Schizosaccharomyces pombe: one gene and its partners. The gene in region 3 interacts genetically with the main gene of each other region. Each region holds a gene or a part of one and is shown on either strand. Other genes may lie near its edges. The genes, in order: SPOM_SPBC651.04, dap1, vts1 and erj5.

Region 1 (8,250 bases), 1.8 Mb from region 3:
CCTCATTTTTGCTGACCTTGATTTGAATCTTGTTGACCATGTACGAACTTATATTCCACTATTACGTAGAAACGATTTATACCCGACCATTTAGCACTGTTATACAAACTGAGGTGATTTCAATTTAAATTAAAGAGAAAATTTTTTTTCGGCTTGTTTACGAAGTATTCATTATTACTTACGGATTTGCAAGATTAAAGCCTGAATACTATGAAAATAAATTTGCGACAATTAAATAATTCCATAAAACCGTAAATTACTGAGCGCTCGATATAGTAAACATAATAGAATCGAAGTGGAATGCAAAAAGTAAGTACTTATTTTATTAATTAATGCATAATTTATATATGTATAACGATTAGGCATCATATAGGAAAAGTGCAATACACAGACAAAAAGAAGAAAAATTAAAAAAAATAAAAAGAAATAGACTTCTTACAATAAAGCATGAAAAATCATTAATGACTGCACCTTCAGAATCACTTTGATTCAAAAGTGTTGTTTTGTGATTAGAAAAAAAGTTAAAATAAAAAACAAAATATAGTCCCTGCGGAAACCCCCCGAACATTCTTTCCCATGCGTGGAAAGAATAACCGTATTATAGTAGTATTTGGAATATAAATTAAAGGACCCTATTCAATTTAGGATCTTGCATGAATTAGTAATATTAAACGATTAAAATACTAAGAATTGGATGTGGACTTTGGAATAAGTTGAGATGCGACAATACCGATGCCTATTACAGTAATGGCCGCAAGCATGTTGCAACCATTGAATATGTTTTCTTGAAGAAAAACAGCAGGAACCTTGGTGCCAGGCTTGTGTTTTTCTTCCTGCAATTCAGCGAGTTGAAGTCGAAATAAAAGCAATCCATTGGATCGAGACATATATTCCCAAGGATCGCCAGTATTACGAAGACAACTGTACGGAGAAATTTGGTATCGGTCCAAGGGTAGAGAAGAAAAGGGTACTGCTGATATAGTTGCACAGGTATTTTTAATTAGTTGATTTACGTTAATAGACGCCGGAAGTTTGCACAAATAGCTATGCAATAAATCAGCACCAGAATTATCCCATAAAAGCTCAATAATGGAAGTACGGTTATCAAGCACAACCTGAGCACACGTGTACACGACGGTAAGAGGATGAGAAGAGATGAAGAAGTCAAATAACCTGCATACCACCGAAATGTCTGAAACATCGTGTGCAAACCAAGTGATTAACCATGAAAGAGCAAAATAACACTGGATATCTGCCTTTATTAAATACTCATAAAGAGTGGGATCGCGAGCCTTGATAACTGCTAAAATTAGCTGCAATTGTTTCACCGTGCCATCAAGGGTAGGAAGCATAAAGTCCCGAAGACGGTAAAATACTAGATGCTCCATTAAAGGGAGAGCATGAGAGAAAGGAAGGGTAAGAAGCAAGATCTGGGCAATATCATGAAGACCTTGATAGTAGCATAGTTCCGGATAATGCTTAAAGACTACACTGAGCAGCTTGGTCAATTGAGAACGGTGTTTACGAAGTAGAAATGGATTCAACTTGTACTGAAAGAATGATCGTTCCGAATCCAAATGAACCTGATTCTGGTCGGCATAAGAAGACTGAGAAGTAGATCTCGAAAGACACTCCATTCGATGTCGACACGATAAACCACAAAGACTGACCCATACAGACTTGCGCAGACTCTTCATGAGGAAGCCATGTCCTTCTTTGCCAATGTGGGAAAGTGTTTCGACATCAGAGTTCAATAATGCAATTTTGATTTCATTTTTTAGTTGTTTTATCTCCTTCTTCTTCATCTCATGAGCGAAATCGCCACTTCCCTTAAGGGAGAAATATTTGAAGAAGAATATTTTTGAAATTTTGAACTGAAAACTAAATCACACTTTGCTTAGGAATCCTGAAATCCTTTAATCTCAGGCCTTTACTTTTTCATAAATAGCTAAATTTTTCTTTAATAAAATATCTCGTTTGGCATCTAAAACACCGTTTTATAAAGGATCAAAAAAGTTGGGCGCAGTTAGTGGTCTGTGGGTTGATGTACGTACCCACTTAAATGGGAAAAAAAAAATCAGAAGATGAAAAGGAACACAATGAACAACTGCGCCGAACACCCTCTCGACAACCTTAATAAAAGAAGATCTTTAACAACTTTAAAAAGAAAGAAAGAAAGTAAATTTAAAATTTTATAAAAATTCTTAAACGAAGCATTTTTACGGTTTTTTTTTTTTTTTCGAATATCGTTAGTATTATTACTATACCATCTCCTTATGAAATTTTTTTTTGCTAGTTAATATATGATGGCGAAGTAAAGTAGAAGGGCTTTTATAAATAGCTGTAAAGTTCAACAGCATGTGTGTCAACTCATAAGGAGAGACTTCCATCAAATCAAACAAGAAGAACTTTCTTTATTTCTTCTCTTTTCTTCTTTTCTTTTTTTCAAATTAAGGAAAGAATATCAGTATGCACTGCCGAAATCGTTATGTTACTATTAGATGGTGGATTGTACAAATAATAAAATTAATATCCGTATGAATATTTGACAAATGAAACAGTTCCCTGCTGTAGATCCTGCGGGTTTGTTTAGCTGTCATTGTAAAACGATTGCGGATAAATCTTCTTTACTTTCCCACCAAATAATGCTATATCCAAAGTATCAAAAGTTTTGTGCGGGTAAGTCGTTAAAATAACACCATTCCTCCAAAAAAATAAATAAATATAATATAAAAAATAAAACGAACCCCTTCAAACGAGGGAGAATACTCTCCTGAAGATGAACGAATTTTGAAAAATTTTTCTTATTTTTTAATTAAAATCTATTTAATGGTATTTGCTGAAAACTCGATTTGACCCCAAGCAAATGTTGAGACATTCATGTAAAAGAAATTATTACGAAAAAGAAAAAAATAAGCGATGACTTAAAACCATCAGTAATGAATCCACATGTTAAAGTAGCGAATACTTAAGCTTGATAAAAAGAATACCTAATTCTAATATAATCCTAGTAGGAAATATTAATATAAATTTTTGAGGTGGCTCTTTTATTGAAGTATCGCTTCATTTTGTATTAGTTAAAATAGGCAATACATCAATCTATTTAGCTTTTAGATTAAAACTACATATTGTTATATTTCAAAAATCCGTGCTTAATTCAGTTGGGCTTACTATAATATTAAACAGATAGTTTCTGGATTTATTTTGAGTGGAATGGCTTGTTTCAGATAGAAAGGATATGATTTGAGAAGTGTGAAGTTAAGAATTTACTGCTTTTGTCTTAAAAAGCATACTCAAACTTGCTGAAACATATTTAGGTCTGTATTCATGATGAATCTTAGTTTTCCCAATTTATTTCTCATCATCTACCAGCTAAACCCAGCAATCTGAGTGAAAAGGTATCTTCATTAAAAACCTATAATCGTGAAAATCATATTGGAATGTTCTAACATTTATCAAACAACATCCTTTCTGTTTACAGCGAGGTTTCTTGTGTTGATTTTGCTACTTTAGATAAGTCAGATCAAGGTAACATATTTGTGGGTCAGCGATCTGATAACTACAGATGGCTGGTATTCGAATTTTCGTTTGGATTAGCAAATTTGCTGCTTAGACCTATCTTTCCTCTTACCGCCTCTCCGTATACATTGTACATCCCATCTTTCATCGAAAGCTTTTGAGTATATAGACAGGCAAAGAGCTTTGAATGAGTTCCGCTGAACTCGGAAAGCTACATATTTATGCCTCTCCTGAACAATGGGAGAAGTGGAGTCCCCGTTGGAAAAGTATCGTTTTTCGAACGCAATATGAATCGATTTTCAAAAATCCGAAACACCATGGGGAGAAAAAACCTTTTCATTGCCTCTTCAAACTCGCTGGAACTATGAAGAGTATCTCTTTATCGCATTTGGATATTCCAGAGCATCGCATGAGCAATGCAGTAGCTTTTCCTATCACTACTTCTACAACCCCTATGCAATTAGATGTCACCTTACAATTTCGTGGGCACAAAATTCCTCTTGTAGTCGGAGAAGCTAGTGTTTCCTTGGAAGATATTTTCACTCATGGAACTGTTGAAAGCGTAATACCTTTATTTATGAAAAAAAGGCATCCCGAGGCATATCTTAGGATCAAACTCGTTTATACGAGGAGTAAAAGAAAGAGCGCCAGGAAACACAAAGTTCCTTCTTCCTTTCATCGATTTTCTGGTCGACGTGGTCTTGGTATACATTACAACCATTCTGGTTCTCAGAGCAGCTTAATAACTTTACCTTTACCTCAAAAGCAGCCTGATTTTTTACGTATGAATAACGATACTAATGAGCTAAAAACAAATGGGTTTGAGCCTATTCGGTTTGTATTTACCACTACTCCTTATTCACCTGCTTCCTTTGAGGTACCAAAGACCCTTAAAACTTAAAAAATGATTGTTTTCTTCCAAGGAATTTCCCTTACTAATTAATTTTGTTTCCATTTTCCAAGGTCCATACAACTTTGCGTCTTGCTGTTTAATATGACCTCCGATTCTATTCTATTTTATTATATTATTATTATTCTTAAATTATTGTTGTGTTGTTTATCACTACTTCCCGTTATTTCGAGCTCTTCTCTTCTTCTTCTCCTTCTTATACCTGTACATATTATCTTTTCCAGTTTCATACTTTATGTCTCTCCTTTTTTCGGTTTTCGTGCTTCAGTTTCTTTTACTTCTTAATTCTTCTAAACCCAAACTTTTTTCTCAAACATATATACATATATATATATATTACATATTACGTTTTCTTCATCGAATTCAAAGTTTTATTCTTCATTAGTTTGACTTTTATCACAGCGTTACTAGATGCTTTTACGAATTAATATATAGACTGGCAAAATTAAGCGTAGGGTTGACTATCTATGAACGGTTGTAAACAAGCAGGTCAACCTCCCCCAAAATTCTAGGTAGTCTTGATAAAAAGGCATTAGAAATTTTCGTATAAAAACCTTTGCGCCTGGTCGTCGATAAGATTGCTTGCACCCCAATAGGCCATCTCCACCCCCTGGGAGTCAATCCAGAGTAATGATTTTGAAACTAAATCATTCTAAATTATTTGGTTAGTCGCAAATGTTTTGAGATATTTTTATAATTTAACTGCGTACCAATACTTGAATGCATCTGCTACGCTCCCAAGCGTAATTGTCCCGTAAAATAGATATTGTTACATAGCCCAATATCTCTACAGCCTCTAAAACAACATTTTGGTCGGTGTTGAGCTCTAAAGGAAGGGACCGGATATACTGTTTACCTGCAATTTTTTCAAGAACAAAGCCAGGGCCAAGTGGGGCCAAACTATCGACAGCTCGAACAACGTCAGTCTCTCTTAACCATTCATGACCAAAGGCTTCATTTTCTTCATTTAAAAAACGACAAACTTGGCTGACCGATAAGAGGCCTCCATTCTCCATTTGAGTAGCATAACAGACTTCGATTACTCGTACAGCGACCTGATAATAGAATTCGTTCATGCCCACGGCCGCCCAAGCTGACTCATCAGAACCACTAACAAATGGATCTAAACCAATTTTCAAAGCTAACTTAACAAATGTATTTCGAAATTGAGAGTTTTGTTTTATCTCAGTGGCATGTTCTCTCGCAAACGTCTTCAGCGCTTCCTGAAACGTCGAGAGTTGAGATGCAATTTCATCGGACTGCTGTTCAATAAGTTCATTTCCTACTTCTTCATACTGTTTTAGATATTCATCGTCGTTCAAAGCTCCAATTCCAATTCTTTTACGCATCGGCCCAACCGAACATTGCTTGTTTCAAGCGCACAATCTTTATGATCGAGGCTTTTAATTAACAAGTAATTTCGAAAAAATATCAACAACAACGTAATTGACCAGTTTCTACAATTATTCGCGAATAATAGTCCTCTTCCAAGATCACAGGAGTTGTGTAGAAGAGCAATAACAACCTGCTTAGGAGAATAAACCATCCATTAATTATAACAATAGTAAACTAACTAGCTCATGAAAAGAATGTAACTAACAGGAGCGTTACATTTCATTATCTAGTATACCAAGTTATTTCCTGCTATATTAGTAAACTATCTTAAATTAGAATATCGTATAGCAGCGCATATTCAGTTTTTTAACGCACTTAACTGGACTTCCTTATAAAGTTGTTTATCACATTGTTTAGCTGCGGTATTTTCTTGATTATAGACTGGTACCACCACCAATAGTGACTAAGTGTAGGCCAGAGATTATTTGGTGCTAAAACCAACTACTTCTTGGGACTCTGCGAGGCTCGAGTAATTTCAATCGTTTTTTTTTATTTACTCACATTCAGGGTGCTTTGAAGATGCCAAGGAGAGCTGTACTTTTCCGTGGCAATTCATTCATTTCGTTTTCGTCAATTTCCTCAGGAAACGAGAGTAGCGCCCATGGGGATGCTTCACTTGGACAAGCAGATAAACCCTTAACTGTCGACGTTTTAGATGCTTGGACCACTCAATTCACAAAAAAGCAGACCAGGGTCTTTCATGAGGCATATGTAAGCGCTTATATCGATTTGCAACAAAAATACGCTCGACTTGAACGACTTCAGGAGCAGATCCTTAATTTGGAAAGATCGCTGTTAAATTATAAATCTTTAAAAAGTAACTCTACCACAACGGTGGCGACAGTTCCCTCCGAAAAACGATATTTCTTCCGCCGCAAACCAAAAACTTCTTCAACTACTAATTCTCTCTCTTCTTCTTCTTCTAGTGTCTCGCATATGAATCAAGATGCTAACCCCAATAGCACCGTATTGACCTTTACTGCTGTTCCTTACGATTCTTGTTTACCTGCACCAGACCGACACACTCCCTCTAGTGCATCGTCTAGGGCGAGTGAAACGGGTACCACAAGCCCACAAAGTATGAGGAACCAAATTAGCCTTCTTTACTCAAAAGTCGATCAAGTCAAAACTGAAATTGCTTCGGCACAAGCTGTTATGCATGATTTGTTGCGCACTTATCCTGGCAGTGAAAGTTTGCAACAATCTACTCATACTCAATTTTGATGCCCCTACACAAACAAAAACTCTCTCTATTTTTAGTTTTCTGTTTTATCTGCGTTTTCTCTTGAAATGAATATTTTTTGTTAAGTTGTATTTTAGAGAATTCGATTATCGATGGATGTCCATTGATGAATCGATCGAAAGAGTCCCATGAGACTTTTTCTTTAATTGTTTTACCCTTTAATAACTTGGAAGCATTCACCAATATATATTTGTTATCGTCTTTTCCATCGAATCTTCTGTAATTCACCTCTTTACCTTTTTCCAGCAAGCCTTGAACTTTCGTTACTTGGGTCGTTACTTTATACTGATGTCCTCTAAATTAATTTCGATCCACTTACTTCCCCATCTCTTTCAACATTTACACTTTCTGACTATAGTAAGTGTTTAATTGTAAAAGAGGTTACTCCATGATTGTAATGTACGTTCCTCAATAAATGTTGCTGTACGGACATTGCCGTAACAAATTCAGTCAGTCAGATATATTTTTCTAACTAAAATTGAAGTGAGCCGACAATACTTTACGAAGCTGCTGCTTTATACACCCGTTATACTGCAAATGGAGGCGATTCTAACGACGTTGTCGCGTTATTAGTAGGACCGATCGTTCAGACATTATCTATACCTTCTTCAACATCTAGTGCACCGCTTGTCACTTCAGTTCGGGAGATTCTTGAGCTTGCTTGCAATGATGCTGTGCTCGACAAGTCGTTTCTCAATGAAAGATTAGAACACTGTATGATCAATAAGCATCACTTCGCTTATGCGCGCTAAGCATCATTTTGCTAATCCGTAAACCAAATAGGCAAACTTCAAGATTTTCCTTTAGTGGGATGTTTAGTTTTGGGAAACAGAGTGGATCATAGGGTTCGTTCAATTGCTCATCAGGTACGGTACAATGCTACTTCGTAACCAGTTCTTTGAATTATTTTGTTAACGCTTATACTAGTTACAAGAAGCTACCGCCTTTCCCTATCTTATGCTTTTCCCATCCAATTTTGACTTGACGCAATTGAAGTTGTTCCGTCTCCCCGATTTTAATAATAAGGATCAGTTTTGGAAAGAAGAATGGTCGACAGAACAATATGAGATTGCTGAAAATCCATCTGGTTATGCTTCTGCTCTTCACACATTAACTCAATTAGATGATGGAAGTGAAACCAACGCTATTAATGTTTCAACTCAAAAGTTTGCCATCCAAAAAC
Region 2 (5,064 bases), on a different chromosome or scaffold from region 3:
GATTGCGTAAATAAGAACGATTGGCAGCCATAATGTAAGGTTTCATTAGCAAGCGAGTAACCCGGCCAGAAAAATTAGGAGGAAGATTTTGCGGGCGAATTCCCGAATCAACGATAAGTTTATTAGAGTAAGAAAGCGTTATCAAAACAAAATAAAACTTAAGAGAGGCAAAGAAAATAAGAAGCAACAACGAGGGAATGGACTCTGCCTGAAAAAATAGATACAACAAACTTGGTGAAGGATCGGAATCGGCTGATTCTTCAGTACTAGAAGAATCGGATTGAACGAGTTTCGAAAACCAAGAAAGTGCAAATAAAACAGTGAAGAGGACGTTCAAAAGAAAATCAATTAAATACACATAGAAGAGAATTAGTGCATGAGGAACGCTTGATTTGGGGATGTGAATAGCCAACCAAGAAAAAAGAATGAGCATCAAAACCGATGATACATACATGAGAACCTGCCATGGCGACGCGTCGGAGTTTTGAAAAAGGGATACAATGCCGTAAAGACCAGAAACTTTGTTGATGATAGCAAACCATATGATAATCTCGCAACCAACACGAAGACTACAAAACCCGAGGAAAGACTAATGAATTAGTACAAATCAAAATAGAAAAGAGCAAATGACAAATACATGATTAAAACATCGAAAAAAGCTGGAAAAAATAGACATACCTTTTGAATAAAGATTTTTTCAAATAAAGCGGACCAATTTGGACGCCGAAACAATGCCATAATGAGAAAGCTTACAATAAACCGAATAATTCAACAGTTAATGACAATAAGGAAAAGAGAGAAGAGAGCTTTAAAAAAAATAACGGAATGAGAAACAGAAAGATTTTAGGTGTTCTACACACAGGAAAGGGATTTACCGGATACAATTAGAAGAAATATTTTACGCAAGTATTAACGGAAACTGCAACCAACATACGCCAGGCACAGAGAAATATTAAAGGTTTATGAATACCAGTTAAGACTTCTTTCGTAAAGAGAAAGTTATTAAAAGGAAAAGACCTACGCACTTAACCCAAATACACGAGATTATCGCCCTTTTTCTCTTTCTTGTTAGCGTAGGCTTTTAAAGTGTAATAAGTGAAGCGGGAAAAAGAGAAAGAGAAAAGGAATAGGATTACAATGTAAAAAATCGAAAATTCAACACTTTCTAAAACTTTTCTCCAGCCTCAGTGTTAAGATTGTTTCGTTTCTAGAATGGGCTAATCGCTTGTTGATGGACCGGGCAATTAGAGAAACAGCGAGGGCATTGCTTTTTATGTGGTAGTAGAATGGTAATCATCGTAAATTGCTTATACAACATCCGGTTTGCTGCGCTAAACTAAATAACGAAAAGGAATATAACAACAGTAAATGATCTGGTGACTTCGGGGGTTGGGTTGGAGTAGGCTAAAAACGTAATAGATCGGTGTTATTAAAGGATTCAAGAAAGCATTGAATGTGTAGCAGCATATTCTTTTAATTATTTGTAAGATATTTTTTTTGATTTCATGAAAGAATACTGGAGATTTGATTCACGACTGTGGATGATGTTTACATATACTATTAAACATTGATTAATTTTGTAGACTAAAAACAGTAAACAACGTTATCAGCTTCAAAAAGTTTTTAAATTTGAATTAATAATTTTTTTATCTTAATAAATAAAGCTATACTACCAAAATTCTTCAATAATAAAAAAACCCTCAATCACCTACTACCGTCCTTTAATTACACTCTTCATCGGCTTCACTTCCTCGCCGAATCTTTGTTTACTTGTACCATCGGTGTTTATTGATTTTATTCGGCAAAATAATTCATCAAAGAAGAAGGGCAACACTTGTATGATTTCTTGGTATGACTGTACATTGGAGGAAATAATGACTGACCTGTTTTTCTTCTTTTTTTTTTTTTTTTTTTTTTTAAAAATTACCGGTCTTACGATACATTCACATCTACCGCTTGACAACAGCTGCAAATTTCATTACACTTGGATATGTAAGATGGTCAATAAAATCAAACGATTTTCTTAGGCTAGTCAAGTCATACTTACACAACAAATTGTCAAGAAAAATTACCAACCATCATCATATAGACACTGTATATAAGCCTTCGGTGAATATTTACACTAAACTAGCCGAACAATTTTTCCATAAGAAATATTATTTTATATTCAATTTAATCTTACAGCTCCTGTAAATAGCCGATCGTTCAAGTATATTTTGTATATTTATTTACTCGATTAATGGTATTTGTTTACTTTAATAATTATTATTAACGGAGATAAAAAGGTTCCTTTCTACTACTAGTCAAATACATAAGCTTCTTTAACAAAAACAAACCCTCGATTATGTAGAACAATGCTTGCTGCTATATTCTATAGTCCATCAGCATGAGCGTTATTTCTGATTCATAATGGTTTACCGAGAGAATTAATGGTAGCAAAATGACCTTGGATTTCAGGAGAGCCGATTCCGAATAGTTGGGATCTTGTTTGCTAAATCGAATGCTTAATTCTAGTAACTAATCCCATAACGACTGTTAGATTATCAGAATTTTCTTATTCTGTTCATTCGCTTCAGGTTAGGTTAATGTGACTGCTTCGTAGTACCGGATGGAAATAATAAAGGTTGCATTTTCCTTAGTTTATAGCCTACCCAACGCACACAAGTCAAATTGCTTGCAAAAGAAATTTCCACGTTTGCAAGTGCCAATGATTGTGCGAAGACTATTGCCTCTTTTGGCATGTAGTCATCTTAGTACTCTTTACTGCATTCTTCAACTTTGTGAAATTGCAGTGAGTCGGTAGGCTACAACATATTAATGTAGTTGCTAGGTAGCTTTATAGGATGAACGTGATTAGCTTGATGATATAAACTAAGACTTGTTTTACCATATTTAAATAAAACTTTGATATCAATCGATAATTCTACTGAAACGGAAATAATGTTGGAGAGTAGTGAGATACTAGTTGGTAATCTAGCACACAAAGCAAGTAAACTAGTTGGTTTAAAAAAAGGATAAATTTAAATCGTAATGATACTGATATATTGCTAGTTATATATAAAGCACTTTTAATCATAGTCTTGAAAGGTTTGCATTTTGTACGAGTGGAAGCATACTATTTCAAATGATATAGGCATGCGTTCGACTCATGCTGCTACCATGATGAACACGAGCCAGAAGGCTCAATATTCTATTAAACCCAGCTCTTTGAACCAATAGTTGTGAAACGAGAAACAAGTTCTGAACAGCAGTTTGTTTAAACATTGTTCGTGTATGCCTGGATAACTATGCTGTTGAGAAATTTTGTTTTTTTTACTAAAAAAATGTCGTGCGACTACGATTTCTCGCTTTGTTGAATAAATCAAAACACCATTACGCAGACTATACATGCATAAAGAGTATTGTAACCTTTTGTAAGATTCTTGTCATAGTAAATAAGATATGCTATGTTCCATTCTGTGCGTATATATGAGCAACATAATCATTGATATATAATTACATAACTAACCAAAATTTTTAACTTATGCTTTATTACAGTGCCTTTTAAACAGTTTATGTGTGCAGAAAACGAGACTGCAATAAACATATTCTCTATAACCGTCCGTATATAGTAATGTACCATGGTAACAAAACTATCGTACGTATTCTTCTAAGCAGGTAGTGCGAAGGTTTTGAGAGAATCATGCGACCAGTTGATTCTTCCATAAACCAACACCATGGCATCTACACAAGTTGTTTTTATAGTAACCTTATTTCTTTATTTGCTAATCACTCGCTGGAGAAGGAAGAATGAGAAATCTTTTATTGCAAGCGAAGAGCCAAAACAGCCCGAATGGAGAGATTATACTCCAGCAGAACTGAAGGAATATAATGGCTCCAAAAATTCATTGGTTTTTCTTGCTATCAAGGGAACTGTGTACAACGTTACAATGGGATCAAAATTTTATGGTCCACAAGGCCCTTATAGTGCTTTTGCCGGTCATGATGCCAGTCGTGGTTTAGCAAAAAATAGTTTTGACGATGAATTTATTCCTGATTCAGATGCAGAAGAATTGGATGATTGCAGTGATTTAAACGATGAGGAGAGGCAGGCTCTAAACGATTGGAAAGCATTTTTTGACCAAAAATATCAAGCTGTTGGCAGGCTGATAAGTCCCAGAGAGGCCAGAGCAGCAGCTACTATTTCAGAAACCGAAGAAAAAGTTGCGCATAATTAATAGCGACAAACCTGTTTTTTATGACTTCTTTCATGCTTATGGGTTTATGATCTTTTCTTTGGGATAATCTAGGACAAGTGGTATACGTTCCGCGTCCGAAGGATCAATCTGTAGTATTTGGGTACATTTGATGATGTGTTATGAAATTACTAGAAGCATGATTGCTTTCAAAAATTATCTTGCATGAAATAGAGGCTCTTAAGCAATGTTGAAAAAAGTCCTTGTAGCAGTAATTTTGGTGCCTTGATAAGGTTACGATAGCATCTTTTAAAAAACATTGTATGTCATTTCCATGTTTTTTTTTGACAATGAAAACTTAATAACCATCTGTGTCTTCTATTTTGTTGTAACATATATAAATGGTAGTAGATGTATGATCCATTTTGAAGAATTATTGTAAACCGTTGTTCATCTGATAATTATTAGCACAACTTTTCTCGTTTAGATAACTTTATTTCGTATTCGGAGAATCTTACCCTTACCCTTAAAATCCTTCGTCAGTAGCTGGAAGAAGGACAAAATTGTTTTGTCACGAACAAATAGGTGGTAAAAGAGTTAAAGCGTCATGGACGTCCTTTCGAGAGTCTTTGACAATGAAAAAGAAGAACTGGATCCTTTATTGAACAATCCACTTACAGCTAGTGAGTTCCGAGCCAAAAAAGCAGAACTGGAAGCTGAATTGGAATCTATTCGTAACGGAACTTGTAAAACTCTTTTAGATTTGGCAGATGAACTTAGAAGGAGTAGAGATGAGGAATTGGAAATTGCAGAGCGTTGGAGAACGTTTTTGGTGAATCGGGCACAAGAGGAATACGAAGTGGAGATGAAAGCAGCCAAGGAGGAGTAC
Region 3 (10,298 bases):
GAAAATTACGTTCCTCCTTCTGAAAATTAATAAAATCGGAAACACCAAACGCTATAATACAGATGAAGCTCTGAGACAAAAGCAAAACAAAGAGATCAATGGGGTAGAACTTAAAAAGAGAACGATCATATGAAATTAAAGCAGATTTCACTTCCATGAATTGAACAAAACAGTAGTACAAAGTACTAATACCTATGCTCACTAATGCAGCCTTTTGAGATATAATTATACGAAAACAAAGCAAAAATGAAAGCATAGGACAAATAAATGTTAATGTGACTCCAATTTGCAGAATGGATTTATGAACTACCGAACAATAAATACCTACTACAGCAAAAATGGCATTGACATAAACAAGCATGCCATTCTTTGCGTTGTAAACGGATTGCTCGTAGAATCTTCTCTTAAGCATAACATAAATAATGGATGTAAGTAGTGAATGACCTAACAAATTCAGATACTCTTCAAGGGGTACCTGTGCAAAACTAACCATAGACTTGGACAGGTTGAAATATAAAATATTTAAGTGAGTAGAAAAAGAGGATATTATAATGAAGTAAAAAGAAATATAGGCAGATACTGGTAGTAAAGCTTTCCATTTATTAAACGTCCATCGTGGATACTGCAATGTGATGAAGACTAACAGCGGGAAGAAATAGAAGTAAACAAATACTTCAAGGAATGTAATCATTATATGTGATTGATGATTTTCGAATTTTATGCACTAAAAGCATACGGAAAGTCAACATGCATGCAATATGTTTGGTACTAAATAAAGTGCGCTACGGCGTGGGTAGTAAATAAAGTCAATAGCAGAGTTAATGCAATTTTGAGTCGTTATTGGATTGAGATAACAATTTTCGGCTTTTAAGGGTTTTCAGCTTCTTTTATTGTAAAATAAATTGTGATAGAGATTTTTGTATTCACATGTAGTCGCCAAAATTGCTAATGACTATGACAAAACTTTGCAATCGGTGCATGAAAAACACCGCTTTAAATCTACTGGTAAAATACATTACACAATATGTAATCATTGAGTATAATTGAAAAACATAATTTCCATCGAAAAAAAAATAATTGTATTTGCTGTTAAATGTATTCGTAATCAGAGATGGGATTGGGATTGAAGCTAAAAACATATGTTGGAACAAAACCTATTGATATCAGTTGAGAAAAGACACTAGTAATAAATCCCCAAACTTATAAACTTCGTTCTTTCGAAAAAGAGTGTACACTATGAAGGAATCACAACATAACCTGTTTACTTTCATGTACACAACTGTAAAATCAGCAGCCAACTAGAAATATTGCTAGCTTATTTTAAAGCGCGAACGAGGGATTCCAAAACACTGACTCGAACCGCCGCCTCGGCAGCAACCCCCTCATCAGAAGAATTCATCTCAGCTTTGTGCTTTTCAAGAAGTTGATTTGCGACAGAAGAAGAAAAGTCTTCAAGTTTATAAGCTTCAGGAACGGTGATAGAAAGTTCATTAGAAGGCTGTTGTACCGCAAATCCTCCAGAAATGAAATATTTTGATTTGTTGCTGGATTCATCAGTAACAGAAATAACTCCTGGCTTAAGACACTGAATCATGGGAACATGATCTTTAAGGATACCCATCTCGCCATCTTCCGCAGGGATGTCGACCTGAGTTACAGGAACCTTCTCATAGATGGTTTGGTATGGCAATGCCATGGAAAGTACTAATTTTTCATTTTTCTGAACAGCTTGGGCATAACCACGAATTCCAAAAGGAGCACGTACTAAACCTTGAGGAAATTGTGATTTTCTCAGCATGTAATTTGATAAACGAAACATAATGTTGTTGTTCGGAGTATTGAGTGGGTTAAGGGGGGTGTGATGCTGCTTCGCTGACTGTGGGAATAACTATGCGGAAAAGTGAATGCTGTCAAATAGTTCTACGAGTAGTATTTTAAAGAAATTACGATTAACAAATATATTCTATACTTTTTTAAAAGTAAAAAAATTCTTCAAGTTGTACAATAAATGATTAAGTGATGTGCCAACAGTTTAAGTTCATGAATTTTAAAGCAACTCGTAAAGTACAGGAAAGTGGATAACTTTCTTAATTCCATAAAGATGAATGATTACATTAGAAAAATAGGCTTCTTCTTTTCCTCAAAAGTAAGTCATTCTTTGTATTATTAAATAACAAGTTGTTTATATACTACAATGTAAATCCGCGAAAAAATCACCAAGTTGAATCTTCCGGATATATTTATTTATTGAATGCTTTGTACAATGGCTAAGTTACTTGGTAATAATCTTTTGATTTGAATATATAGACATGTAGATACAGTTTACAACATTTACCTGATTTTGTAAATATAAAGCAAATATAAACATGTTTCAGTTTATTGGACAACGAATTACAAAGCAAACATAGCATCTGCACGTGTAGATTCATTACGAAGCCATTTGCTGAAGTGGTAATCGTGAGTAAGAAAATAAGAGAAGACCAATTTAGATGTCTGAGTAAACATAGTATATTTTATGCAATTCAGTAAACAAGAATATCTGAAAGAACTAACATTTTCTGCAAACAAGTGTAAAATCAACTATTTTTTTGGCATACTGGCTTGCATATCGCTAAATATAGCGGACCCCGAACTAACATTTATCCGTCTTTCCTCCTTCCACCAACTAGTAGTCATTTTTCAAAACAAAGATCCCTGCTTCGACGCTGGTCGTTTTTAAATTCCTAGGGATCTCCTTTTATCATTTGTTTTTACTCATCAATTTGAAGATTCAGCGAGGCAGATTTGATTATAAGGAGTTAGTTTAGAGGGGGAACTTAGGTTCATTAGGATCAACTACTTTTTCAACTTTTATCTTCTTTTATCGACCATTTTTCATTTCAAAATCTATACTGCCTGATTTAGATGGAAGTGGTTGAAGGAAGACGGAAGACGTGCCTTGACGTTGTTGATTCTCCATCTTCACGTCAAAAACAAACTATAGCTGTCTCGTTGGTAGATGGTAAAAACTATCCTACGCGATTTTTAAATAGTAGGACCATAGATAAATTGAAGCAAGAATTAAACACTTCTAATCTGTCGACTGGAGAAATGTCTACTAACGAAACCTTAAAAAATGCTCAAGAAGTTGCCGGTAAGCTTCTATCCGAAGAGAATGAAGATTCAATATCGGAACATTTCGATGAGTATTTAGGAGCTGATAAGCCTGGTATATCCTTTTTGACTCGTCTGAAAACTCTTGAAAGCTGGTTTCAATCCTTAAGTCTCCAAGATCGACTGACGACCTTACGGACTCTTTTGCATCACCTTCCTTCTCAAGAAATATCTACACTTCTGTCGTCTAGCCTTACGTCCTCTCCTTCAAACTCTGGCTTATCTTTAGACAAATCTCTCCCTTCGTCCCCTAAAGGTGACTCACCTTCCCTTTCAAGTTCACTTCCTTCATTGACCACAAAATCCAACTTGTCTGGAAATTTGAACATGGTGACTCCCGCGTCCACCCAGGGACCTGCATTTTCTTCAAAGCATGGCTTTTCTAACGCTCTTTCTACGGCTTCGCCAATTCCTGTTCGTACATCTTCAGTATCATCTACTTACCTCACGCAGGATCGTGAGGCATCTTCCAAAAATTGCCTTTCTAAGGCTTTAGCATTTTCCTCCATTGAGCCGCCTGCCTCTTCTGCTTCTACGAGTCCTCGGAATACTCCTACCCCTTCTAATAATGGGACTTCAATTAATGCTAATGTAACATCTTCTTTAACCAGCAATTCCACCGGCAAAACATCCAAGACCACTGATCTTTTAATAGCTGCATCTAAAAAGTCTTTACCGTCAAATTCAACACCATCAAAACCTAATACATCTTTTTTTGAAACTCCTCATAATAATATTTGGGATTCTCGTGATAGAGGAGCTTTTTCAGCTCCTCCTGCTCCTTTTTTTCCACTTGGATTTTCACCACATTTGAATGATGAGTCTTCTCGTTCGAGATGGAGTAATATATCTTATTCTCCGCCTCCACCACCACCTCCTCCTGAATTATTAAACCATTCTCCAAAGTCTCGCCCTTTAGGCGATAAGCCTTATCTGTTTTACCGTAATAACCAAATCGGACCTCGAACTCGAACTGAAGGAAGATCTAGCATTACAGAAGGTAAACCGTTTTTATCATCTTCCCTTCGTTTTGAGCACGTACCTTCTGCTAATGACCTAAATTCTGTAGTCAATGCTCGTGTTGAGAAATCAACTGGGCAACCATCGACGCCGTTGAATCGTCAACATTATTTCAACGAACTTCCACATTCGACTACTCCGGTTACATTACCCTCGTTGATTCATGGTTCTGAAATTGATAGGAGACGAAGTGGTTTTTGCTTGAACAATTTCAATTCAACTCCTCCCTTTCAGCCCTATCATTACGAAATTGGTTCTGGTTTACCTCAACAGATGCATGCTACCAATACGATTTTAACGAATCCTATAGATCCTAATTCTAATATCTCGACACCCGTAGGAATGCACCTTTGCACCCTTCCTTACACTTATCAACCGTTTAGTTCAGTTGAAAAAATAGAGACTCCACCCAATAATTCAAAGAACCAAACATACCGTAGAAGCTCACGGGGATCTAATAAAACCAGAAAATCGATTTCACATTCTAAAAACACAGACAAGCATGTTGGTAATGAGCTTCCGCAAGATATTCCGAGCTGGCTCAGAAGTTTGCGCCTACACAAGTATACCAATAATTTAAAGGATACGGATTGGGATGCTTTGGTTTCGTTAAGTGATCTCGATTTGCAAAATCGAGGCATCATGGCACTGGGTGCTCGTCGTAAACTGTTGAAAAGTTTTCAGGAAGTTGCACCGCTAGTATCTTCAAAAAAAATGAATGAAAATTTAAAAGCGGCGAAAAACCAAAGTTCGGAGTCTTTAACGAGCTTCAAAGGTCATACTGACTCGGAGGATCTTCCAAGTGGGAGCATGTCTAACGAAATAAGCTCGAATTCAACTAAACAGGATGTTTCTAGTTCATCAATGGACTGAGAGTTTTTTATCATTAACTAATGACACTGAACTAGATATTTTTGTTTCACATCTAGTGACACTTATCTTTACGCTATATTTGACAATACTTTTTTCATTGCTTGAGGATTTCTGTTGTTTATTTTAAGCCAAAAGGTGGACTAATCAAATATTAAAAGCTTAAACCAATTTTACAAACTGTCTTTGACATCGCTTTTGTAATATAAACATATAAGTGAATTTTAGTGATTTGAAATTATATTATTATGAGCACTTAACGGGCACACCATATAAAAAGCTGATTTGTTTTCTAGCCTTCGGTAAAAATCATTGATTTGCTTAACAATCTTAAATCCATGAGCAGTATACCATTTAATAACTGATTCGTTTGTTGTTTGTACATGAAGAGAAATTCTGTCTATATTATTGTTTATGGCAGTTTTTTTGACGTGATCAATTAATAAGCTTCCAATTCCCAGACATCTGTAAGGGGCAAGAACACATAAGACTGTTACGTAAAGTGAATTATCTTCTGCAACAAGGCTGCTAATGGCTCCAACGAATTTGTCTTCGAATGTTGCAATGCGGGCGTAATCTGGATTTTTGAGAACTAGGCGGTAGAATTTGTCACTATAAGAAGCCTCTAAAACGACACGAACGAGGCGTTTGAAATGGACTATATTGGATTCAGTAATCTCTCTTATAAAATACTTTGAAATAATTGTATTTGAATTATCACCTAAACTAGGCATTTTTTGTTGAGCCGATGTATTTGGTTTTGCCAACGTATCTGCAAACCCTTGAAATGAAGCTTCACGATCTTTACGTTCCGAAACTTCTGTAGTTGCGGAATTATTACTTTCGAAACCACCAACCTTTTGCTTGACCGCCTCGTCATTCTTTGATTTTCTATTTTTCAAAAGCCGATCAAAATTTTTGTCAACAGAAAACAAACCTTTAGTATCTGCACCACACTGGATGCATGTCGGTGTTTTACGATATCTAGTTATGGCACACTGTTCACAAAAATGGTGACCACAAGTGGTAGCAATAGGACTTCGGTAATCCTTTTTACAAATTAAACAGACGAAAGGTATATCCTCTTTTTTCTCATTTTTTACCATCCCTTCTTCCAATTTAGCTCCTTTTTTGTATTTTTCCTGGACTGAATCCCATTCTCTATCAAGTTGCCATCCAGCTTTGTAATCCTCTCGCATATGCAAAAATTTACAAGTATCTCCATAACCGCAATACCCAGTGAGCTTATAATCTTTACAAACATCGGGTTGGTAGTCAATAATTGTATTCATACGGACAGTAGAAGCATTGGAAGATAAAACTGGCCCTACTTGGCTTTTTTTCTCAAAATCTTTCCTTTTAGGCAAAAATCTAGAGTAATCGTTTTGTGACTGGAATAACTCAGTAGGAAGAGTAGACTGATTAGCTAACTTCGGAGAAGGTCGACCTAAAATGACCTCTCTCGTATCTTCGTTGATAGCCGAAACAGTTGTAGTATTAACGGACTCACCAGTAGCGCTTAGATTTGACTGATATTCAACATTTATATCTTTCAAAGCAGAGTTCTCGAATTGCTCGGATTCTCTTTGCAATCGATTTAAGCGAACGGTTTTTTTTCTTCCCGAAACAATTGGAATATTGTCCCGCATATCTTCATTTGATGATTCACTGCTGCCTCCAGAGTCATCATCTCGTTTGAATCCTTTTTTACGCTTCAGTCCTTGTCTGGGGCGATGTCTCCGACGGCTTTGAAAAATTGGAACAGCTAATTCGGTATTGATTTTTGAACCTGAAGCCTGATTGATATTTAAATTTTTTTGTTCCATTGGATGTATGGCAAAGATAATTTAATGACCAAGACACTTGAAAAATCAAATTCAAGATAGAAACGTCGTCAATTCTTCTTTAATTGAGACCCTATTTAAATTCCAAGATAGAACCACTATAATAGTTTAAACAATTAATAGTCACTAAAACAGTTCCCAAACAAGTGCTTCAAAAATTCTGATATCTAGTAGAATCAATATTAGCGCTTGCTGTTTGCTCAAAATTGTGAAACGTGTGTCCCCTTAAATAAATAAAATAAAACAACAAAAATAGAAGAAGTTTGTAGTGAAATGCAAATATATAAATTTTAGAAAGCTGCTAAGCTAAATACGTGGCCACCGAATCTGGGCTTTAGTAATATTCAGGTAGATATATTTTTTAATAATATATAGGTATTTATATTTACTTTTTAAGATTATATAGTATAACGAGGCACAAAACAAACGTTGAGTTCTATTAAGAATGTATAGTTCTCTTTTTGTGACAGTAATCAGTCTTAATAATTTAATTACTATAGTAATGACTAATATTTTCAATCTAAACATATATATACAGCCTTCAATGTAATACGTGTTTGCACAGCGTTCCCTTTAATTTATTGCTTAGCGGTACTTCATAAACACATCTAGAGATTTTTTCATATTTATTTTTATTTTATTTTATGGAGATTATGAGAAAAGGCTGAGATATGGGGGTGTTATTTTCAATTTAAACGTATAGAGCATTGCCATTTACTAGAAATTGTTAACATGAAGAGGCCGTTGCTACGACGATCTAATTTACATTCTTGTTTAATTCATTATCATTTATCATCCAACTCTAATTATTTTGCAATCTGCAATATTGATGAACAAGCTACTAAGTACTGTTTCAACGGCTTATGAATTATATCACATCAAACAATCATGGTCTCAGACCTATAATGCAAATAGCGTATGCTTACAGAATTGAAATCGAATAAAGTTTAGTAGGAAATTATACAAACTCATAGCGTGTCTCAACTTTTATTATAATTCATTATGGTACAAAACTATTTTGAGTTAAGCAAAAGTTCAATGGATAAAATTCCAAACGTTAGGTTTTTAAAAACGACAAGAGTAAGACATCACATTTAACAATTTGCATTTTGAAGATGAACCATTAATCACTCTTAATCAGCCCTTGGTTGTTTACGAACACTATCTGATTCACTGTTCCTGTCTTTATAAAGTTCGCCATCATCAACCTCACGCAACCATGGTGCCAATATGACAGGTGATTCAGAACCTTTTTTATCCATCTTCACAACAAAGTCTTCGTTCCTCTTATTCAAGTGGTATGTTTTTTGCTTCCGGAGAGTGTAAGGTGAAGGTGACCTAGATTCATTAGACCTTTTTCTAGATACCTTTGGTGAATATTGACGGTTGTATGATAAAGAGTCATAAGATCTTTTATTCCTAGCAGGAGAGCGAGAAATAGGGCGTGCAGCGGAGACGGAGATCTAGAGTATGAAACTGAACATGACATACTCAACCTTCTTCTGTAGGAGGGTGAGCGAGAAAAGGACCTGCCTCTGCTTGTAGAACCAGCGTATGAACGTCTATAACGTTGGCGCGAGCGATACTTACGTGAAGCAGGTGAAGAAGAACGAGAACGATAACCCTTATCTTCAGATTCAATTAATCTTCCCTCCGGCGTGTAAGAGCGTGAGCGACCCCTTGACAATGATGATGACCTGGAAAGATCAGAATAAGAGTTACGGTTTGATGACCGTTCTCTCCCACGAGGAGATAATTCTCTATCTTTTCTAATGTATTTTTTATGATTTATATTATTGATAGGGGTTACACTGCGGGAGCGAGAATAAGAACGGCTTTTCGAGTATGACCGAGTTGACCGAGAATATGATCTCCCACGTGAGTATGTGGAAGAATAAGAGGAACTATATGTTGATCCTGTCTCGGATCCAGAGCTATAACCTTCGCTATCTTGCTCCTTTGGCTCGCTTTTGGGCATGGTAAGGAGGTACTCTCTCATTTCTTCAGTTAATGCACCCAAACCAATAGAAGTAAAGTAATTGATAGAGAAACGAACGTTACGAGCTTCATCGACTGGAAACAAGCCATGTAAGTAAGGCACTAAATTAGGATCGTGTAATCTTTCTACCAAGCTCTTAAGACCTAAAGCTTCCACTATTTCCTGAAACATTATTTTTAAAAATATTCGAGAAGAAGCTGTGGTATCGTCTTCGGTAAGACGTACACAGTCATATACTTCCCAACCAATTGAGTCAGTACTCAAGAGGTTGGCAAAAAATAATGCGATATTCCTCAATCTATTAGTTTCGTATCGATGTATAGTTTCGTAGTAGTTTTTAAAACATTGCTCATACGTAGATCGCCAAGTCCGCGATAGTTTGCAAAATCGCTCACCTATTAAACCGTAAAATTTCGCATATGTGCGTTCTTGACTGTTACACTCAATAACCATATTGCAGAGTTCAATTTCCTGACCCTCGGGAAGATCAATTTTTAGTAATTTATGACAACATTCCTCAAAATCTACAGAAGACATAATTGTTAAGTAGATAGACTTCCGTAAATTGACAAGACTAGCATTTGTTTGATCTATAACCTGAGGTTTTTCATCATTCACCGATTCGTCCTCTTCAGATTCACTCGTTTCTTCACTATCTTCTTCATCTTCTTCGTTTTCGTCGTCATCCTCTTCACCCAATATTTCATGTTTTATAGCATCGTATTTTTTCTCATTCTCTTCGTAGTCGGGATCATAGTGAAAAATACCCAATGACTCTTGGACATCAAGGTTATCATCTAAACTGATATAATGCGTAATTTGGTCTTCTTCCTCAACAAGATCCAACTCTTGGGGAATTGTGGGGTTATTTTTAAACTTGTCCTTACGTGTTTGGAACAAAACTTCAATAATAAATTGCGTACGGCGTTCCAACTGGCCTTCATGTAAAATAGTACGAAATCTTTCAAACACACCATTATAAGCCCTAGTGGAAACTTCAGCTAGGTAGGCTCCAATTTCTCGTAGAAGCATAACGGCTATTTCTATAGAATCATTGGTAGGTCTCTCCAAAAGAACAGCAAGAATCTGTAAGCCCACAATTTCGTGTGCTATTTTTTGATTAATAAGATGTGCGATAAATGAAGAAGATGAGATACACATGGATTTGTCATTCCTTTGAAATGACTTTCGGAATTGTACAATCAAACGAGTTAATAGTAATTCACCTATTTGCGGAAATTTTGTATTTATAACCGCTGTCATAGCAGCATAGATTGGGGTGAAAGGTAACGAGGCAGCCTGAGCTTTCATAATGCTGCGGCAATATAAAGCACGACCTCTAATTATATTTTCTTGAAAGAGCTCTGGAATTATATCTCTAATATTGCTTTTATTAACCTTATTAATTAATC
Region 4 (8,070 bases), on a different chromosome or scaffold from region 3:
GCCAGGTAAAAAACATACTAAGTGATCCATTTTTGGAAGTTGAGCGTGTTCTAATCCACCGGGAAGTTCCGCTATGTAGGCAAAGTGATTAGGAGTAGTATAATTAAGGAGATATTCAATAATTCCATCAACACTCAAATCGAACGCTTTCCTATATACTGTACCACTTGAAAATAATTGAAGATCTTGTTTCAGTAAATACTCATAGTAGGAATCACCGTGAGAACCCAGTCGAATATTTCGACCAACGTAGGCGCCTGTAATCAAATTTACCGTAATAGGAACCAAGCCAGTATGAGACCAAGTAGCATCTCCTAGCAACACCTCCATTGTCTTGTCAGCCGTTATCCAATATTTAGGATCGCCAGTAAGATAGGATAAATAACGTAGCTCCATCTGAACAGTTCCGGATTCAGCAGTGCTTACGAAATACTCTCTAGTTCTTTTTCTAGATTTACGAGTTCCTAGGTTTACATTTGATCTAGGTAAGCCCGTGGAGGTATTATAAGCAGCTAGCAAACGATCAGCTAGGTCCACTGCGCGGTCTAGGTATAGTTTGTCTTGAGACAAGTGATAAGAAGAAAGGAGTCCTCCCAATATACGAATAGTAGTTTCAAAAACACTAACTTCTTCGTCATCTTGGTTCCAAGTAAGAGAATTATTAACCCATTCACGAGCACGTAAAACTTGTTCATCAAGGCCCATAATCATCATTGTATCAAGGGAATCAATAATCATCCAGCCCATGCCCTTCCTAAGGTAATTCCGTCCACGTTTAATAATAGGATAGTATTCATCTTTACCCCAGCCATAAGTTTCATAGTCTGTCCAGCTTTCTATGAATGTTTTCTTAATCAGCGCTTTTCTTCTCGTGGAGCCTTTAAGTTTGGTATAACCAGGAGGTCGTTGGACAGTCGTGTATAAATAATATATTGGAACGCATAATACAAAGAGTGCCAAAATTCGACGAAGAAAGTATTTGACAGTCCTTCGTTTAACCATTATTAAAAAAAATAGAAAGAATAAGAAATTTAAAATCGATATAATATAATAAAATAACAGGATAAGTTAACCACAATATTTAAGCATCAGAACTTGTGAATTAAATGACTGCGGTCAAGAAAACAATCAGTTTTTTCTCAAATTTTCAAAAGTTTTGACAAGGGGTAAATGATAAAATCGAAGTTCTTTCAAATCTACCTGTTTTCCGTCAAAATCGAAGCTTGCACACAAATATAAAGATAATCGTTCACAAGAATGTTCAGTCAGAAAATGAACATAATTTTACTTAATGAATTAGCTATATTTTTACGTATTCGCTTATCAAGATCTAAAAACCGATCTTGAATTAGCAAAGAAGCAGTAGTTGGCAGAGGTTAGCGAATCCATGCCAGTAATACAAAAGTGCATTCTTGTGAATCAACCCTAACCATCAAACAAAACATCTAAATCGAAGTTTGTAAAAATATCTAAAATTAAATTTTCTTTTTTTACTTATTCGTACAATAAGAGCTTCTCAACCTTTGGTCTACGTATGTTTGTTTGTCTATGTAGATTCCTCAGATGTCAATCTAAAAATTCCCAAATATTCTCAATCCTGAACTTCTGGGTAGACATTATATAACCTATGAATTAAACAAAAGTGCTTGTTGATTTTCAATTATGACCATCGCATTCTAAAATCTACAGGTTCGAAGCTCGAAATAATCATTAAAACTTAAGCATTTTTTAAAGATGTACTTATTCTATAATCCATTTAGTGACTTAAACTTGAAGCATTGGTAGAAGAATAAGGCTGCTCACCTACGTGTTTATGTGTAAATTGATTTAACTATGTTGATTGCATGCTCAAAACACTCCTTCTGAAAAAGAACTATTTACAAATACGTATATATAGTCCTTGGGAAAAAATATAACATTTTTATCGTTTCTTCCAGCTTACACCTACAATGTTAAGTAGGGTATCAGTGCTGATTAAAAGCTGAAACCTCGATACGTTTTATCAACTTCTTGTTTCCCGTAAAGAAAATGCTCAAAGTTTAAGTAGATGATCGTAGAAAAACTTATAAAGGAATGAGTGAAGAAAAGCATCCTGTGGATTTGCACAGCATTAAGTCTAACGGCTTACAGTGAATTTTGTATTCATAAAAAGTAGGCACTTGGTGGAAAATCACAATATACCCGCTGGATTCTCATAAGTAGTCAATAAACAATGTAACCCAGCAAAGCTTGACACGATACAGAATGACCAAAACAACCGTCCTACTGGAGCGAGAAACATAATAACGATCAGAGTGACAGCACAAACACCAGGGATGGAATACTTGGGATCTAATCTTATATTTTGATTAATGGTCAAGCTTCCCAAGCCATGCATAACAAAACTTAGAAAAACACCAACCATTAGAGCTAACAAAGCAAATGGGTACCAGATGAAGAAATAAAGCCAGCAAATACAAAGCAAAGTTCCATAGAATCTATAATTGTCTTGAAAATTCTTTTGTATTCTGGGTTTAACAGCATACATACGAGGTAAAGAGACCTTTCCCATTCGTACATATTCATCTTGCGCTGCTACCGCAACATATGTTTTATGAGTGGATATGGAATTCTGGTGCAATGAACATAGCACTCGGTGTAATTTATTTTCTAACTTCATCATCAGGAAGATTGATGTGTGGAAATGGGAAACGTTTTGGCTCCTCCAGTAATGGCGCCCATCGATGGTTTGTTTACATTCTCTAATCGCTACCGTAAACAACTTTTCGTAGATTCAATTCACATTAATCAAAATCATATGAAAAAACATAAGGTAAATATAATAGTATGGTCGCAAACAAAATTTGTTCAAAATAATTTGAAACCATTTACTCTTCAAGGATAACTAGTCCACCGGTGCCTAATTGCAGGTATTCGAAATGCAAAACAAAAATTAGAAATTTCAGAGAAATATGAACAAAAAAATAATTAAGAGAGAATTACAAGCTGTACTGGCGTCGCCGGATCTGGTTCCTATTTGCCCATCACCACCAACGCTTTCATAGTCTGTATCTAGAAATAAAACACGAGAAACGTGTTAGCATAATAATTTTTCTGTTAAAACATAGCTACGCTAGTGCCATTTCCCGTCAATGTTAAGTTCTTTCAAAAAATCGTTCCATAAAATTTCTTGAGCAACTTTGGTTGTACCTTTCCTCACACAAGAGAGCGTAATTTCATAGACGGAAATAAAAAAAAGAAAAAAAATAATAAAATTATAAATACCCTTAAAATCGTAATTTTTTTCTTACCCAACCTTGTTTTAATACCAGCCTTCGAAAGATAAAAATACTGATACTTCGTTATTCAGCGTTTGTTTAAATAGGTTAGCGAACGCGTATCACCCAAGAACCTAACCTTCGGGTTGCAAAATAGAGCGGAAATGAGCAGAATTTTTATTTTACTGCTTTTATTTGGAGTCTGCTTAGCGTGGACCTCTTCCGACCTTGAAATTTTTCGAGTTGTTGATTCTTTAAAGTCAATTTTGAAGAATAAGGCCACGTTTTATGAGCTACTCGAAGTGCCTACAAAAGCCTCTATTAAAGAAATCAATAGAGCGTACAGAAAGAAGAGCATCCTTTATCATCCAGATAAGAATCCAAAAAGTAAAGAATTGTATACGCTTTTAGGGCTGATCGTAAACATTCTTCGCAACACTGAAACGCGTAAACGTTATGACTATTTCCTTAAAAATGGATTTCCAAGATGGAAGGGAACGGGTTATCTTTATTCAAGATATCGCCCTGGTTTAGGTGCTGTGCTCGTCTTGTTGTTTCTTCTCATTTCCATCGCACACTTCGTTATGCTCGTAATCAGTTCAAAGCGGCAAAAGAAAATCATGCAGGATCATATAGACATTGCTAGACAACACGAGTCTTATGCAACTTCCGCCAGAGGTTCAAAGCGTATTGTACAAGTACCCGGTGGAAGGCGTATATATACAGTCGATTCCATAACTGGTCAAGTGTGTATTTTGGATCCCAGTTCCAATATAGAATATCTAGTTTCACCAGATTCCGTTGCAAGCGTTAAAATATCTGACACCTTTTTCTACCGTCTTCCCCGATTTATAGTTTGGAACGCCTTTGGACGCTGGTTTGCAAGAGCACCTGCATCGTCCGAAGATACGGATAGTGATGGACAGATGGAAGATGAAGAGAAAAGTGATAGTGTCCATAAATCTAGCTTCTCCAGTCCTTCGAAGAAAGAGGCTTCCATAAAAGCCGGAAAGCGACGAATGAAAAGACGAGCAAATCGAATTCCACTTTCTAAAAACACGAATAGAGAAAATTAAAGTTACTGAGTCAAATTTATATTGTTAGAGTGTCTTTAGGTTTTTATAGTCAAGTGATTGATCACGTTGTTTCTAAGTTAATAGTCTATTGTTTAGTTTTCTTCGACAATTCATCATCATAATATAGTTATCATTTCCCCTTGGCTGCTTGAATACAGTCTCTACAAATGTTTATATACTTGGAAGTCATATGTATATCTGCATTTACTTTAGGAAAAGACTTATCATCTTGATAAGCCATTGCATATAGACCAAGTGCAGAATGTAAAACATCAGGAAACTCACCTGGTGTTTTAGAAAATCCGCCCAAAGCATGTTGAGCATGCAATAATAAATATTTTTCCAACTCACCCCCATCGATAAAAGGCAGAGCATCAAGGAGTTTTAATGAACTCAAAACCCAATAAGCATAACAGGTGTCAACGTCTTTATTCGTCCTTCCGTTTAATCCTCCAGATGATAATTGTCTAGAAGCTAACCATCTGATAAGGCGTTCTACTTTAGGCACACAATCCATTAAGTTATATGATTGATTAGAAGTATTCAAAGAGGAATTTGGAATCATTTTCAATATTAAAGACCATGATGCTAACGCGCAAAATGTAGCTCCAGCATGGGCTTCGCCGTATGGTAACAAAGAAAATCCGCCTTCATAGCGTTGACAGCTTTTAATATATTGGATAGAACATAAAGGGTCAGACAGAGAGAAATCAAGAAGCGAAGCAATAGTCGTAGCCATATATAACTGTCGCATGTCTTGGTCCGAACATGATGGCACAGCAATACTTCTAAAATGACCCTGCGAAGTTTTGCACAACTCCACAAAATTCTTAATTAAATCGCGGTCGATACGAGAAAGATTATCGCCAAGAAATAAAAGGCAACAAATTGAAAACACAGTCCCAGCTAATTGCGGCTCCTGTTCGAATGAGATGGGTTGAATGCCAGTTCTATACGCCTGAAAACCGGAGTATTTGATTCCTTTAGATTCTTTCGTTACATAGTTTTTGTAGATCCACTCGATCCAACTTTTTTTATCGTCATCATCTATGGTGTTCAATGCATTTAGCAAGTCTAATCCTAATAAACAAAAGAATGCTAACACTGTTCTTTCGCAATCGTGTTCTTCGTATGGAGTAGGAAATAGTATAAGATGTCTCTTAAAGAAAGCAATATGTTTAGCTCTTGTTAATTCCATTGGACCATAAATAGATGCGCCGATAGCAGAATTCTATAGATGTCAATAGAATAGTAAGTCTTAAAAATCTATCGAACAAAATTGGTACAAGAACGATAATTATTTTAAGCTTAAAAACAAAAAAACGCGACAAGGTATTTTGATTTATAGTAATGAGCAGATATATTTCTGTAATGATTTGTTCATGAAAAGAAATTCGGTGAATTAGCTCGGTAAACTTCGGAAATTTCTTGTATGGATCACCGGACTTTTTGTGGAGTATGCTCGGAGAATAAAATTAAGTCACCGGCAGTATACCATATAGGTGTTTGAAGATACAGAAATTTACGAACCGTTGGTACCCTTAGAGAAAGCATGTCTGATCCTTTCTTTACACGTCCAGAGCATAGAAAGAGGAAAGCTAGGAGTGCTACTTCAAAAAGAGAAAAAGAGAATCAAAAATTGGAGAGGAATGGACCCGCTAATGAAGATTTAGCATCTATATCATCAGAATCCGAATTCAATGGCTTTGAGGACGAAATTGATGAGGAAAATGAAGATACTTATGAGACTGCAGCAGAAAAAAGGCTTCGATTAGCAAGGGAGTATCTAGACGAGGTCAAGAACGAACTGGTCGAAGATGGAGGTTTCGATGCGAAAGAAGTGGATCGTGAATTGCTTGCAAGTCGATTGAAGGAGGACGTATTAGAAAAGAAGGGACAAATGTATTTAGACTATACTTCTAAAATTAATCCTGATGTAAAAATCGAAACAGCTCAGCTGCGAGGCCGTCACATGCGTCCGCTAGTTGGAGTGGTAGCATACGAAAATTTTGTTTATAGTGCTGATAAATCGGGTTTGATCCAAAAATGGGAAGCTTTGCAAGAAAAAGATACTGAAAATAGGGAAAATGACGATCATGAAATTGGGAAAGCTATAAAATTGCACTTCAGACCGATCAAATTCTCTCGCAGCCGAAGAGGAGAGAACGATCATGTAAAAGAAATCACTTGCCTAGCAATTAGCAACGATGGTCGTTGGATCGTTACTGGAGGTTTGGACCATCGAATTGTCATTCGTGATAGTGTGACACTTGAGCCTCAACATTGTTGGAAACATCATCGGGACGCAGTAATGGGATTAGCCATGCGAAGAGGAACCAATGAAATGTTTAGTTGTTCCGCTGATCGATCCATCAAGGTATGGTCTTTGGATCAAATGTCTTATATTGAAACGCTATTTGGACATCAGGATGTTATTTTTGGAGTGGATGCATTAGCTCGGGAAAGATGTGTCAGTGTAGGTGGTAGAGATCGGACATCGCGTCTGTGGAAAATTGTTGAGGAGTCTCAACTGGTATTTCGTAGTGGAGGTACTTCTATGAAAGCAACTGCAGGCTATATGGAAGGTAGTGTGGATTGTGTGGCAATGATTGATGAAGACCATTTCGTTACTGGAAGCGATAATGGAGTTATTGCACTTTGGTCTGTTCAACGTAAGAAGCCTCTTTTTACATACCCACTTGCTCATGGACTAGATCCCATTCTAGCTCCTGGGCGTCATTCCGCTGAGACGTCTCCAGATCCTGTCACTATACCTCCTCAACCTCGATGGATCACTAGTTTGGCTGCTATCCCATACTCCAATCTATTTGCTTCTGGTTCTTGGGACGGAAACATCCGTTTATGGAAGATAGCGGAAGGCCTTCGTTCTTTTGAACCTTTAACAATCGCTACTCCGTTGTCAGTTTATGGCTGCATCAATTCCCTTTCACTTTCTTTGCAAGGAAAAGGTAAACAATCAGAGGTAAGAGTATTCGCTGCTTGCGGAAGAGAAACTCGCGTTGGTCGTTGGAAAACCTTGCGGGGCATCCCTAATTCAGGCTTCGTGTTTAATATCCCTTTAACGGTTATTCCTTCTGTTACAGATGGTGACGAGATTGATGAGTAGTAAAGTTGCAAAATAAAAGAACTTAGCTTTTCATTATTTTTCATATAAGCGGTTATGAAGCAGATGTGATGGATCTCTTATTACTGTGTTTATCTTTTCCTGGTGTACAAAAAATTTTAATTCATGGAACGGAATTTTGGGTTGGATTTAATTTAAAAGTTTAGATAAAATACGGATTTATTAGGAAAAAATATACAAAAATGAAATTGATTATTAAAACGAACAATGATGAACCATGTCTTTCAATTCGGGCTTTTCTATTTGGGTTCTTTAAATGTTTTATAAATTGAAAAAAGAAAAAGAAGGATGAAATAGTTTGTAATAAACGAATGAACTTTCTTCTTCATCAAATGCCGTGCATTGAAATGGTGCATAATGAAATTATTGAAGCAAAATGAAAATATCAAAATCGTTAAACCGAAGTTTTGTTTATGAGTATTGTTAAAATCCTATTAAGTTTTACTAGTTCTTGCTATCACTTTGTTTACCTCTTGCCCCAAATTGTCCTCAATATTACTTGTCTTAATAATGGTAATCAAAAGCCCTTTTTTTAGTTTTTAGTATCTTATAGATTCTTTAATGGAGTATAGACCTTTTAAAAAAGTCGTTC

Evidence for each region.
Region 1: mutations in vts1 (region 3) and SPOM_SPBC651.04 together harm fitness more than expected from each alone (negative genetic interaction), as found in Schizosaccharomyces pombe (one large-scale study listed by BioGRID).
Region 2: mutations in vts1 (region 3) and dap1 together harm fitness less than expected from each alone (positive genetic interaction), as found in Schizosaccharomyces pombe (one large-scale study listed by BioGRID).
Region 4: mutations in vts1 (region 3) and erj5 together harm fitness less than expected from each alone (positive genetic interaction), as found in Schizosaccharomyces pombe (one large-scale study listed by BioGRID).

Annotation. Positions count from the first base shown.
Region 1 is NC_003423.3:1,241,141-1,249,390, forward strand, and holds SPOM_SPBC651.04 (uncharacterized protein), read left to right. Parts: upstream 1-3,629; 5' UTR 3,630-3,706; coding exon 3,707-4,420; 3' UTR 4,421-4,961; coding exon of another isoform or gene 4,962-5,081; 3' UTR 5,082-5,139; coding exon of another isoform or gene 5,140-5,778; 3' UTR 5,779-6,014; downstream 6,015-8,250. Other genes in the region: nit1 (nitrilase superfamily protein), read left to right, coding at 1-94; GTPase-activating protein Gyp10, read right to left, coding at 684-1,805; ESCRT II complex subunit Dot2, read right to left, coding at 4,962-5,081, 5,140-5,778; protein mug166, read left to right, coding at 6,344-7,048; SPOM_SPBC651.07 (uncharacterized protein), read left to right, coding at 7,456-7,466, 7,552-7,781, 7,851-7,933, 7,995-8,250.
Region 2 is NC_003424.3:4,151,757-4,156,820, forward strand, and holds dap1 (cytochrome P450 regulator Dap1), read left to right. Parts: upstream 1-3,703; 5' UTR 3,704-3,716; coding exon 3,717-4,217; 3' UTR 4,218-4,564; downstream 4,565-5,064. Other genes in the region: inositol phoshorylceramide synthase regulatory subunit Kei1, read right to left, coding at 1-589, 679-738; Clr6 and Rpd3L histone deacetylase complex subunit Sds3, read left to right, coding at 4,783-5,064. UniProt on the Schizosaccharomyces pombe protein: Required for sterol biosynthesis. Functions as a positive regulator of cytochrome P450 enzymes erg5 and erg11. Function requires bound heme.
Region 3 is NC_003423.3:3,038,373-3,048,670, reverse strand, and holds vts1 (RNA hairpin-binding protein), read left to right. Parts: upstream 1-2,660; 5' UTR 2,661-2,904; coding exon 2,905-5,046; 3' UTR 5,047-5,267; coding exon of another isoform or gene 5,268-6,869; 3' UTR 6,870-7,031; downstream 7,032-10,298. Other genes in the region: gpi14 (pig-M family mannosyltransferase), read right to left, coding at 1-691; F1-ATPase delta subunit atp16, read right to left, coding at 1,316-1,819; zf-C3HC4 domain-containing and GCN5-like protein cwf24, read right to left, coding at 5,268-6,869.
Region 4 is NC_003424.3:3,323,477-3,331,546, forward strand, and holds erj5 (DNAJ domain-containing protein Erj5), read left to right. Parts: upstream 1-3,393; 5' UTR 3,394-3,421; coding exon 3,422-4,333; 3' UTR 4,334-4,463; coding exon of another isoform or gene 4,464-5,531; 3' UTR 5,532-5,552; downstream 5,553-8,070. Other genes in the region: mns1 (mannosyl-oligosaccharide 1,2-alpha-mannosidase), read right to left, coding at 1-1,002; mug109 (Rab GTPase binding protein upregulated in meiosis II), read right to left, coding at 2,171-2,662; geranylgeranyltransferase type 1 beta subunit Cwg2, read right to left, coding at 4,464-5,531; U3 snoRNP-associated protein Rrp9, read left to right, coding at 5,886-7,460.